Macaca mulatta: one gene and its partner. The protein of the gene in region 2 interacts with the protein of the main gene of each other region in a pairwise test. Links are inferred from orthologs where the notes say so. Each region holds a gene or a part of one and is shown on either strand. Other genes may lie near its edges.

Region 1 (4,599 bases), on a different chromosome or scaffold from region 2:
AAAAATAGTTTACTGAGAAGTCAAAAGACAGAAACTGTTTCACTTATACTTAAAAGTGTGCTACGGAAAAGAACTTGGGGGTTTCTAGCTTTAAAATAGGCCTTGTTACTTCTCATTCAGGGAATTAAGAGGTGTATAATTTCTAGTAACCTTTTTCTATTTTATACTGAAGACATCCCCCAAGACCAATTACTTCTCAGCCAAGTGAAATTCAAACACATTAACTTTTACTTTTTAAGTTAGAAGCAACATTTCTCCAACTATATCCTTAAATGATAATTAGAGCACAATTATTACCATAACCAGTTTTGATACCCCCTATAGTCAATGTAGAACAAACTGTCCTCAAACACCCATACCTTCAATATCCATACCAACACACTGGAATCAAGTACACTTTTTAGTACTGTAGTTTCTTGGAAGGGCCAATCTAGCTTTGCTGACTGCATCCAATTATCATTAGAGGCTGTAAAAATGCCTGAAAGAACCCTGGACTAAAAAGCAGAAGAGTTATAATCCTAACTCTCCAACAGAGTAATAGTTTTGCATCTCTGAGTCTTAGTTGCCTTAACTGCCTCCCTATAGCACATAGGTTACAAACATTAAAGCACCATAGCTCTTGGCTCAGTGCTGGTAACCAGCAGACACTCAATTAAATAAACAGATAGAAAAACCCTACTTAGAAACATATTCAGACAAAATAAAGTAGAAAAAGTAATAAATATCTTTTAAAAAAACCCCACCACCACTATTCTGGGCAAAAATAATACTTTCTTTGTGGAAAGAATTATCTGTATCTGCTCCCATCCTGTGTGTCCCAAACTAAGTTCTGTTGCTCAGGGATGTGGGCAGCTGATAGTCCACAGCTGCAAAAAAACAAAGGCATAAACCTTATTTTAATAAACCAACAACATAAATGTAGTGCTAGTAAACGAAATAGTAAACAAAATTATATACAAAAGAATGTTTCTAGTTTCAGACCCCAGTATATTTATTTATTTTTTTGAGACAGAGTCTCACTCTGTTGCCCAGGCTGGAGTGCAATGGCGCGATCTCGGCTCGCTGCAACCTCTACCTGCCAGGTTCAAGTGATTACAGGTGCCCACCACCAAGTCCGGCTAATTTTTTTCTGTATTTTTAGTAGAGATGGGGTTTCATCATGTTGGCCTGGGCGGTCTCGAACTCCTGACCTCAGGTAATCCGCCCTCCTCGGTCTCCCAAAGTATTGGGATTACAGGCGTGAGCCACCACGTCTGGTCTCAGAGCCCAGTTTAAAACGTCTGATCTTTCTAACAGACTCATTTATAATCATAAAGTATAGGCCATATTTTGTTTTGTAATTTGAAACTTACTAAATAATGGATTGATAGAAACTAAAGTCACTCGATTTTAAATGTAATAACTATAATAAAACAGATATACTCACAGCTTGCATTTCTATACAGAAGAAATGGTTCATGGAGCTGAAATTCCAAATCTTTATTCACTGGTTCAACTAGATTGTGCATATTTAGTCGATTCACAATGGTAAAACCATGGTAAGGGGAAGCTGACCTTAGATTTAATAGAAGGAAAAAAAAATATGCAGTTACCATTTAATCTGTAGAAATGTTATCTACTATGTGCTTTATTTTCATTTCAGAAAAGAATACGTTAGAACATACAATATTATCAAGCACTTACACCTGTAAACAAAACATTTAAGTCGGATTATATTCTTCCTCTGATGAGAAGTCTCCAAAGACAGTCTCTCAGAGTAAAGGTCAAAGTCCTTACTGAGGCCACCAAGGCCCCACCTGATGTATTCCCCCTCTGACTTCATTTCCTATGGCTCTTCCCCACCTCCTCCTCTCCAGCCACACTGGGCTCCTTGCCACTCTCTCTGCATGTGTGCTTCTACCTAAAGACCTCTTCCTGGATTACTGCCCCAGAAGCTGCACAGCTATCTCATCTCCTGCAAGCCTTTGTTCAGATGTCACCTTTTTCATGAGGCCTACTTGAACTACCCTTTTTAATGTTCCCAAGCTCAATACCTCTAACCTTTCTCTTTTATCCATACTACTTATTTTTAATATTAATTGTCCTGCCCCCACTAGGATGTAAGCCCCATGCAAATGGAGCTTTTGTCTTACTTTTTTCACACATACATCCCAATATAGACACACAGTTGCTGAATGAAATATCATTCCATTGGATTGGCTATAATGGCTGCCCATCATTACAATAATGGTTTTTCTTGCACCAAACAGATCTTTACATAGTGCTCCTGAGTTAGACAGAAAATGCCTTGAATCCTACAATAGGAAACATCCTTGGTTCCCGTATCAGAGGGATTCGGTATATGATCCCTTACTCTTCACATGTACCTAACATTTCATAGTTTTTCGTTTGTTTCTCTACGATATATATGGGGTGTTAACACTATTCTACAGACTAGAAGACAAGCTTTGAATGATTAAGGACTGTGCCTGAGGTCACACAAATAATGAGTTACAAATAATGTAATTCGGATTCAGTTTCAGGTTTTTTGACTCCAAATCCAAGCTTCTACTATACGAAGTAATCTCTGCAAAGTGATAGTCTGACATCCTGGTATACCTTTATCCAAGGTACACAAAATAGTCTCACATTTTCCAAACACAGTTTCTTGCGTCTCATTTAATTAGAATCAGTACCATATTAGACTCCGTGAATTGTATTAAATCCAGCCACCACTACACTAAATCTCCTACTTTCTATAATCAGTGCCTCTGTATGATAACAATAAACCCAGTAAAGTACCTTTTCCAAATATCATAGAAACTAAGGTTCTAATAACAGAGTTTCTAGAGATTTATACTGCTAATGAAGAGTAATGAAGGGAGTGAGGGTAAAGATCCCTTCCTATTTATTTATCTGTTTATTTATTTTATGAGAGTCTCGCTCTGTCGCCCAGGCTGGAGTGCAATGGTTTGACCTCGGCTCACTGTAAGCTCTACCTCCTGGGTTCACGCTATTCTCCTGCCTCAGCCTCCCGAGTAGCTGGGACTATAGGCACCCACCATCACGCCCAGCTAATTTTTTTGTATTTTTAGTAGAGATGGGGTTTCACCGTGTTAGCTAGGATGGTCTCTATCTCCTGACCTCGTGAACCACCTGCCTTGGCCTCCCAAAGTGCTGGGATTACAGGCGTGAGCCACTGCGTCTGGCCGATCCCTTTCTTTTTAAAAGAAGAAAGATGAATAGCAGCGAACAAACAAAGTGTCTAAGAAAGAAGAGCTTGGTGTACAAATATCAAAGAATTACACTTAAAAGAAGAAAAAAAATGGAGTGCATTTAGATAAGATCTCAAGGCTTTGTATCAAAATTTGGAAGAGTATTTGACAAATTATTTTAAATTGGCATCAATGGAGAAAGGCAATCCTTAAAAAGCAACTCAATGCAAAAAAAAAGGGAGAAGACCAGATATCAGTAATAACTCCTGCTGACTCAAGCTTTAGAAAACAAGGGAAGGAACCTGTCCTTGTCAGAGTAAGACCTTAGAGGAATCCAGGAAAACAAGCACCCCATGACTATCATATACTGTCAGTTGTCTTTAGGCCCCAGAAGCTGCCTAACAAAACAGTTGCAATTTGCAAACCAATCTTAAACATAATGAATTTTTGAATAAGTTAAAAATAAAAAATATGCCATTATGCATAATCCAAGCTTTCTAAAGAACTCTCAAACAAGACACTGTACAAAATCTAGAACTTCTGGGGGTTGGGAAAGAGGACAGAACCAGTCATAAAAGACAACCACCCATGCAGTAATAAAACAACAGAGGTAATGAAAAACATTATTTTACAGAGCTAGTCTATGTATTATCTTTTCCCCAAATATATATCTTTTTTTTTTTCTTTCTAATATGGGGGTAGGGAGAGAGAGGCAGGTATCTGTTTTAGACTCAATCATTATTATTTTGAAATTGCTTTGCTAGACTTTTAATATAAATTCTAGTTCAGTTTATTCTGAATCACAGAAAGGCTCAGAGAAAAGAAAGAACCTGGTTAAGATTTCACAGCTAGGGAAAGATGAAAACTTGAAGGGGACTAGCAGGAAGGTTCCAAAGACAAATGTACAACAGAATTGAACCGTTTGACATTGTTCACCATTAAACTGTTAAAAACAAATACACATATTTTAAAAACTTACCTTCGATATACAAATAAGGTCCCTTCTATATCAGTTTTCTCCTATGAAAGACAATGAGTCCATTAGTTTTTTTTCCCCATAATCAGACCCCAAACAGTCCCAATGGAGAAGTAATGCTTCACGTTTAAGATCAAATTGTTTCATTTCATTTATTATAAAATTAACCACTTTGGAACAGATAAAGTCTCCCTCTCATTCCACAAATTGTGGTTACCATTTCTAATGTATGCTTTCAGTGCTACTGATGCATACATAAGCATACGCAATGTTTAATCCAGCAACATATCTGTATCTGCAGCATTTTTCTTTTTTAATTAGTAAAGGAGAAAATCATAGAATAAACCTTCACTTTTTATAGCTAAAATGTTTTAGCCAGATTTCTTAACTTCAAGGCTAAGGTCCTGTATACTGCAATTTTTTCTCTTT
Region 2 (4,599 bases):
GGAGAAAGGCAGAGTGTGGAATGGAGGGACCTCAACTCATCTGAGGAGTCGGGGGCCAGGGTGGCGTTTAGGGAGGGAGTCTCTGAGAAAATCATGCTATGCTGAGAGGCATCGAGTTAGCTGATGTGGGTGGGAAGCATGGAATCCGGAGTGAGGGAGGACTGAGGACATATGTTGCAGGCAGAGGAGACGTCTTACACACACAGGCTACTGATGCATACGGATGCGTTGCAACCAAGCGTGTTTTGTGTTCATTCTGTTGTGCGGTGGGGTGGGTTATAGGAAGATGCTTTATGATTCATGGTTTAATGAAAAGAATACAAGATAGAAGGGAGTCTGGAATTCTAGCTCCTGCTTTGTCATTAACCAGCTATGAATTCTTCAGCAAGTCACTTTTTAATTTCTCTGAGTCTCAGTTTACTCACCCATAAAATTAGTATCTTTCTTACTTCACAAGCTTTATGTAAAGACCAAAGGAATTACGGGATGATACTGAAATGTTCAAAAAATAAAAAGCAAAAAAGCGTGACTGTGAGGTGCTTGCACTCCATCTTCCATGGCCTTCGTTTGCCAAGCTGAGGCCACCTACACTCCTTTGATAGCTTACTCAGCTCCACCAAGCACGCATTTGTAAACAGAATGTGAGATGCAACATTTGGAGAAAAATACCAGGTAAAATTGAGGTACTGATGGCCGTTCCACCTTGTGTGGCTTTGCAGCTTCACCTCACAGATGTTCTGAGACCACAAGACGGGTGAGAATGAAGGCATCTGGCTGATTTTTCCCAAAACTTCCAAGATGCCCATATGCCCATATCTTCTTGTGGCATCCGCAGGTGCCAGTCCCAGCTGTCCTTTAAGCCTTTTCCTTCTTTCACCGTAAGTGGCTGGAGAGACAGGCTCATGAGTGGCATTGGAGAGGTTACCACTTGCCAGGGTTTTTGTTTTGTTTTTGAGACCGAGTCTTACTCTGTCACCCAGGCTGGAGTGCAGTGGCACGATCTTGGCTCACCGCAACCTTCGTCTCCAGGGTTCAAGCGATTCTCCTGCCTCAGCCTCCTGAGTAGCTGGGATTACAGGTGCACCACCACACCCAGCTAATGTTTTGTATTTTTAGTAGAGATGGGGTTTCGCCATGTTGGCCAGGCTGGTCTTGAACTCCTGACCTCAAGTGATCCACCTGCCTCGGCCTCCCAAAGTCCTGAGATTACAGGCATGAGCCACCGGCCCTGCCAGGCTTCTAAGTAAGGACTCCCCATCAACTTGCCTATTTAACATCATCACCCTCACTTCCTGGATGAGAAAACTGAGGTGCAGAGATCTTTATTATGACCTGCTCCCAGCCACAGGTCTGGTAAGGAGTAGGATTAGGATTCAAGCCCACGTCTCCTTGATGCTGTCTTCAATCCCGACCCCTCCACTGTGCTGCTTCCCTGCTCGCGAAGGTGGCAACGCCACTGAGGTGCCCTGTGCCTTAGATCTCCAGCATCCCTGGGAAGGGCTGAGGGCAACCCCCAAGCTCCAGTTTCACTAATGGGAAAGCCAGGGCCTAAGACACTGGAATGAAAGCGTGTGGCGAGGGTAACGAGTGACTGTGAGGTTTGTAAAGCAGCTTCATGGTGATGTTTAACAAACTGGACGTTTTCTGAATGAGGATCTTGCATCGTCCAGTGGCAGTAGTGAGACTGAAGATGTCTTGCAAGCAGAGAGACCACACTAACTCTCCCACTCGTCCCTGCAGCCCATCACCACGGGAGGGGTCACTTACCGGGAGCAGCCCTGGCACAAGGAGTGCTTTGTGTGCACCGCCTGCAGGAAGCAGCTGTCTGGGCAGCGCTTCACGGCTCGCGATGACTTTGCCTACTGCCTGAACTGCTTCTGTGACTTGTATGCCAAGAAGTGTGCTGGGTGTACCAACCCCATCAGCGGTGAGTGTCCCGGGGTCCCCACTTCGAAGAGGGATTGGAAGCTTGAACAAGGCCTAGCATTTTAGCATGTGACCCTGTCTATATCCCTAAACTTCCCAGACCTCCCTAAGGCTCTGAACACAGACTTTTCTGCCTATCTGCTTTCCTCTCCTTGGTGCACTGGCTATGCTTCAGCAAGTAATGATTACTTCCTCTGCAGCCCACCGGATCACAACCATATGGCCTGTGCTCTGGTTTAGTTTCTGCTTTGGGTTGGATTATCTCTAAAACTGCAGCCTGTGAGCCTGTAACACCACATAAGCACAATAAAAACTGGCCTTTTCAGGCTTAGCAGCTGTACTGTTTTCTTAGAAGTGTCCCCTAGCATCTTAGGGGGACGGTTGTACTCCAAAGCATCTTAGTGGGAAATTTCTGCCACAAGGCCACAGCTATATGAGGGCAGAGGGTACATTCTAAGGAGTTTTTCATATTGTATTCCCCCAAATGATCTGGCAAAGTGAGAGCCCAAAATCTGGCTGGCCGGCAGACCAGGCTTCTGGACTAGACTATTAAGCAGGCTGGAGAAATTCAGTGTGGAGAACAGATGACTTCACACTAAAGTCCTTTAGATGGTCACCACATATCACTACACAAATTAGTGACTGGGTGGGGAGAGAAAAGTGTGTCTTCTATAATAACACAGGAGAAGTTTTATGATGTGGGATTTTCAATCCCACTGCATTCAGTGGAGTGGTTCTTCCCTATCAGAGGAAGGTGGCAGACACATGGAGTACCCGGTGGTCTGGCTTTCCTATGTGGCTTTTCAGTATCATTACAGAAACACATCTATACACCCCCTGTGTTCTTGTCCTTGACTTTCTTTTCCCTCAGGCCTAGAACGAAGTTCACCTAACTGAGCTAAATCACCTTCCCAGGTCACTAAAACAGTTCTCTCACGTATAATGCAGAGCTCATTACATTTCCATGTGAAATTAAAATATGAAGAAAAGCATAGTATTTACAGTTTACCTATGTTAAAATATCTGTTTCTGGTCCTTTATGCACCACATTTCCCTTGGAATCATTTAGGGGGAAAATGCAATCTTTTGCCAAACATATTCATCTTTAATGCTGTTTTCAGCAGTAACTTCTGTTGAGGTAAATGTTTATAACATTAAGCTTTATAAAGTGATACAATCTATATAAAAGCACTTCTAAATGTAAAACGTTAGATATGAATGTGAATTGCGGTTATTGTAGCACTGAGAAAAAACACTAGGTAAAACCAACTGTATTATAATCAGGGACCAATGTACCTTAAATATTTGATTCCATTCTGTCTGTCTGCAGCTTTCTCAGGATCTTCCCGCTGCAACAATATTCCTCTGCCCTCATTCCTACCCACATCGTGCTTTATCTGTGAGGCTTTTCCTGGCCACCCCAGGGAGGATTAACTTTTCCTCTTCTACACTCCCTTCGGTGCTTCAATCATTAAATCACACAAATTTGAGCACCAGGCAACATGAGGCACCTAGTGAAGGCATAAGAGAAATCTGCTTCCTGTTCTCACAGAGTTTCATTTTGTGGGAAAACACATAACAAATACAGTCAGCATTCTTTGACGCACTTATCACATCATTTTGGAACCAGTTTCTATCTCTCTTCTGATATTCACGAGATCCTCCAGGCTGTGCATAGAATCTGATTTATACATGGATTCCCAGCACCCATTCACTAGAAGTTCACACTATCCATATTACACAATCCAAACTTTGAAATGGATCAAACCACAATTCCTTCTTCAGTCCCAGTTGCCTGATTCTAATTTTCTTCATCCGGTATTATTTTCTCTCTGTTAACAGGACTTGGCGGCACAAAATACATCTCCTTTGAGGAACGGCAGTGGCATAACGACTGCTTTAACTGTAAGAAGTGCTCCCTCTCACTGGTGGGGCGTGGCTTCCTCACAGAGAGGGACGATATCCTGTGCCCCGACTGTGGGAAAGACATCTGAAGTCAACATGGAGAAGTTGCTGCTTGTGATCTCACACACAGATTTTTATGTTTTCTTTCTCACCCAGGCAATCTTGCCTTCTGGTTTCTTCCAGCCACATCGAGACTTTCTTCTAGTGCTTTTCAGTGATACTCACGTTTGCTTCAACCCTTTAGTGCTTTGTGCTAGTTCAGTCCCAGGGAAAGAGAAAACTCGCCCTAGGCCCTAGGTGGGAAGATGGTTTGAAATTTTTGTAATCGAGTAAGGCACACCCAAATGTAAAAATCCTTTTGAATGATGTCTTTATAAATCTTTCTCTCACTGCCTATTTAAGTGCAATTAATGTATGCCACGAACTTGAAAGTTTTCTAAACTCAGTAAGGTAATGACCAATTGGTATTTACAGCTCTGTAACTTCCTGTTGTGTCAAGTCTAAACCAAGATTATGTGACTTGCAATAAAGTTATTCAGAACAAAATCTTTTGCCAGGCACAGTGTGTGAAATCATGATTAAAGGTTGAGGCACTGAGTCTAAGTAACACGTCATTGCATGGTCCGATGGTCACTGTATGAAGTGCAGTTCCAATGGCCTGGGGCATTGCCAACTGGAATAGCATCACATCACACCCTTTATTTAAAGGAAGCCTTCAGTCAACACCAGGCACCTCTTCCTTGCTACCTTCTCTCCCAATTTTTTTTT

What was found. The genes of interacting proteins can lie anywhere in the genome.
Region 1: the proteins of FHL2 (region 2) and DCP1A interact in binary tests that used the Homo sapiens proteins (3 or more experiments, as listed by UniProt). The two-hybrid records come from large-scale screens. The link is inferred for Macaca mulatta from reciprocal best matches to the Homo sapiens genes FHL2 and DCP1A.

What each region holds. Positions count from the first base shown.
Region 1 is NC_133407.1:116,924,529-116,929,127, forward strand, and holds part of DCP1A (mRNA-decapping enzyme 1A), read right to left. Parts: intron 4,215-4,599; coding exon 4,174-4,214; intron 1,616-4,173; exon of another isoform or gene 1,596-1,615; coding exon of another isoform or gene 1,555-1,595; coding exon 1,427-1,554; intron 1-1,426. UniProt on the Homo sapiens protein: Necessary for the degradation of mRNAs, both in normal mRNA turnover and in nonsense-mediated mRNA decay. Removes the 7-methyl guanine cap structure from mRNA molecules, yielding a 5'-phosphorylated mRNA fragment and 7m-GDP.
Region 2 is NC_133418.1:13,465,113-13,469,711, reverse strand, and holds the end of FHL2 (four and a half LIM domains protein 2), read left to right. Parts: intron 1-1,740; coding exon 1,741-1,927; intron 1,928-3,768; coding exon 3,769-3,920; 3' UTR 3,921-4,377; downstream 4,378-4,599. UniProt on the Homo sapiens protein: May function as a molecular transmitter linking various signaling pathways to transcriptional regulation. Negatively regulates the transcriptional repressor E4F1 and may function in cell growth.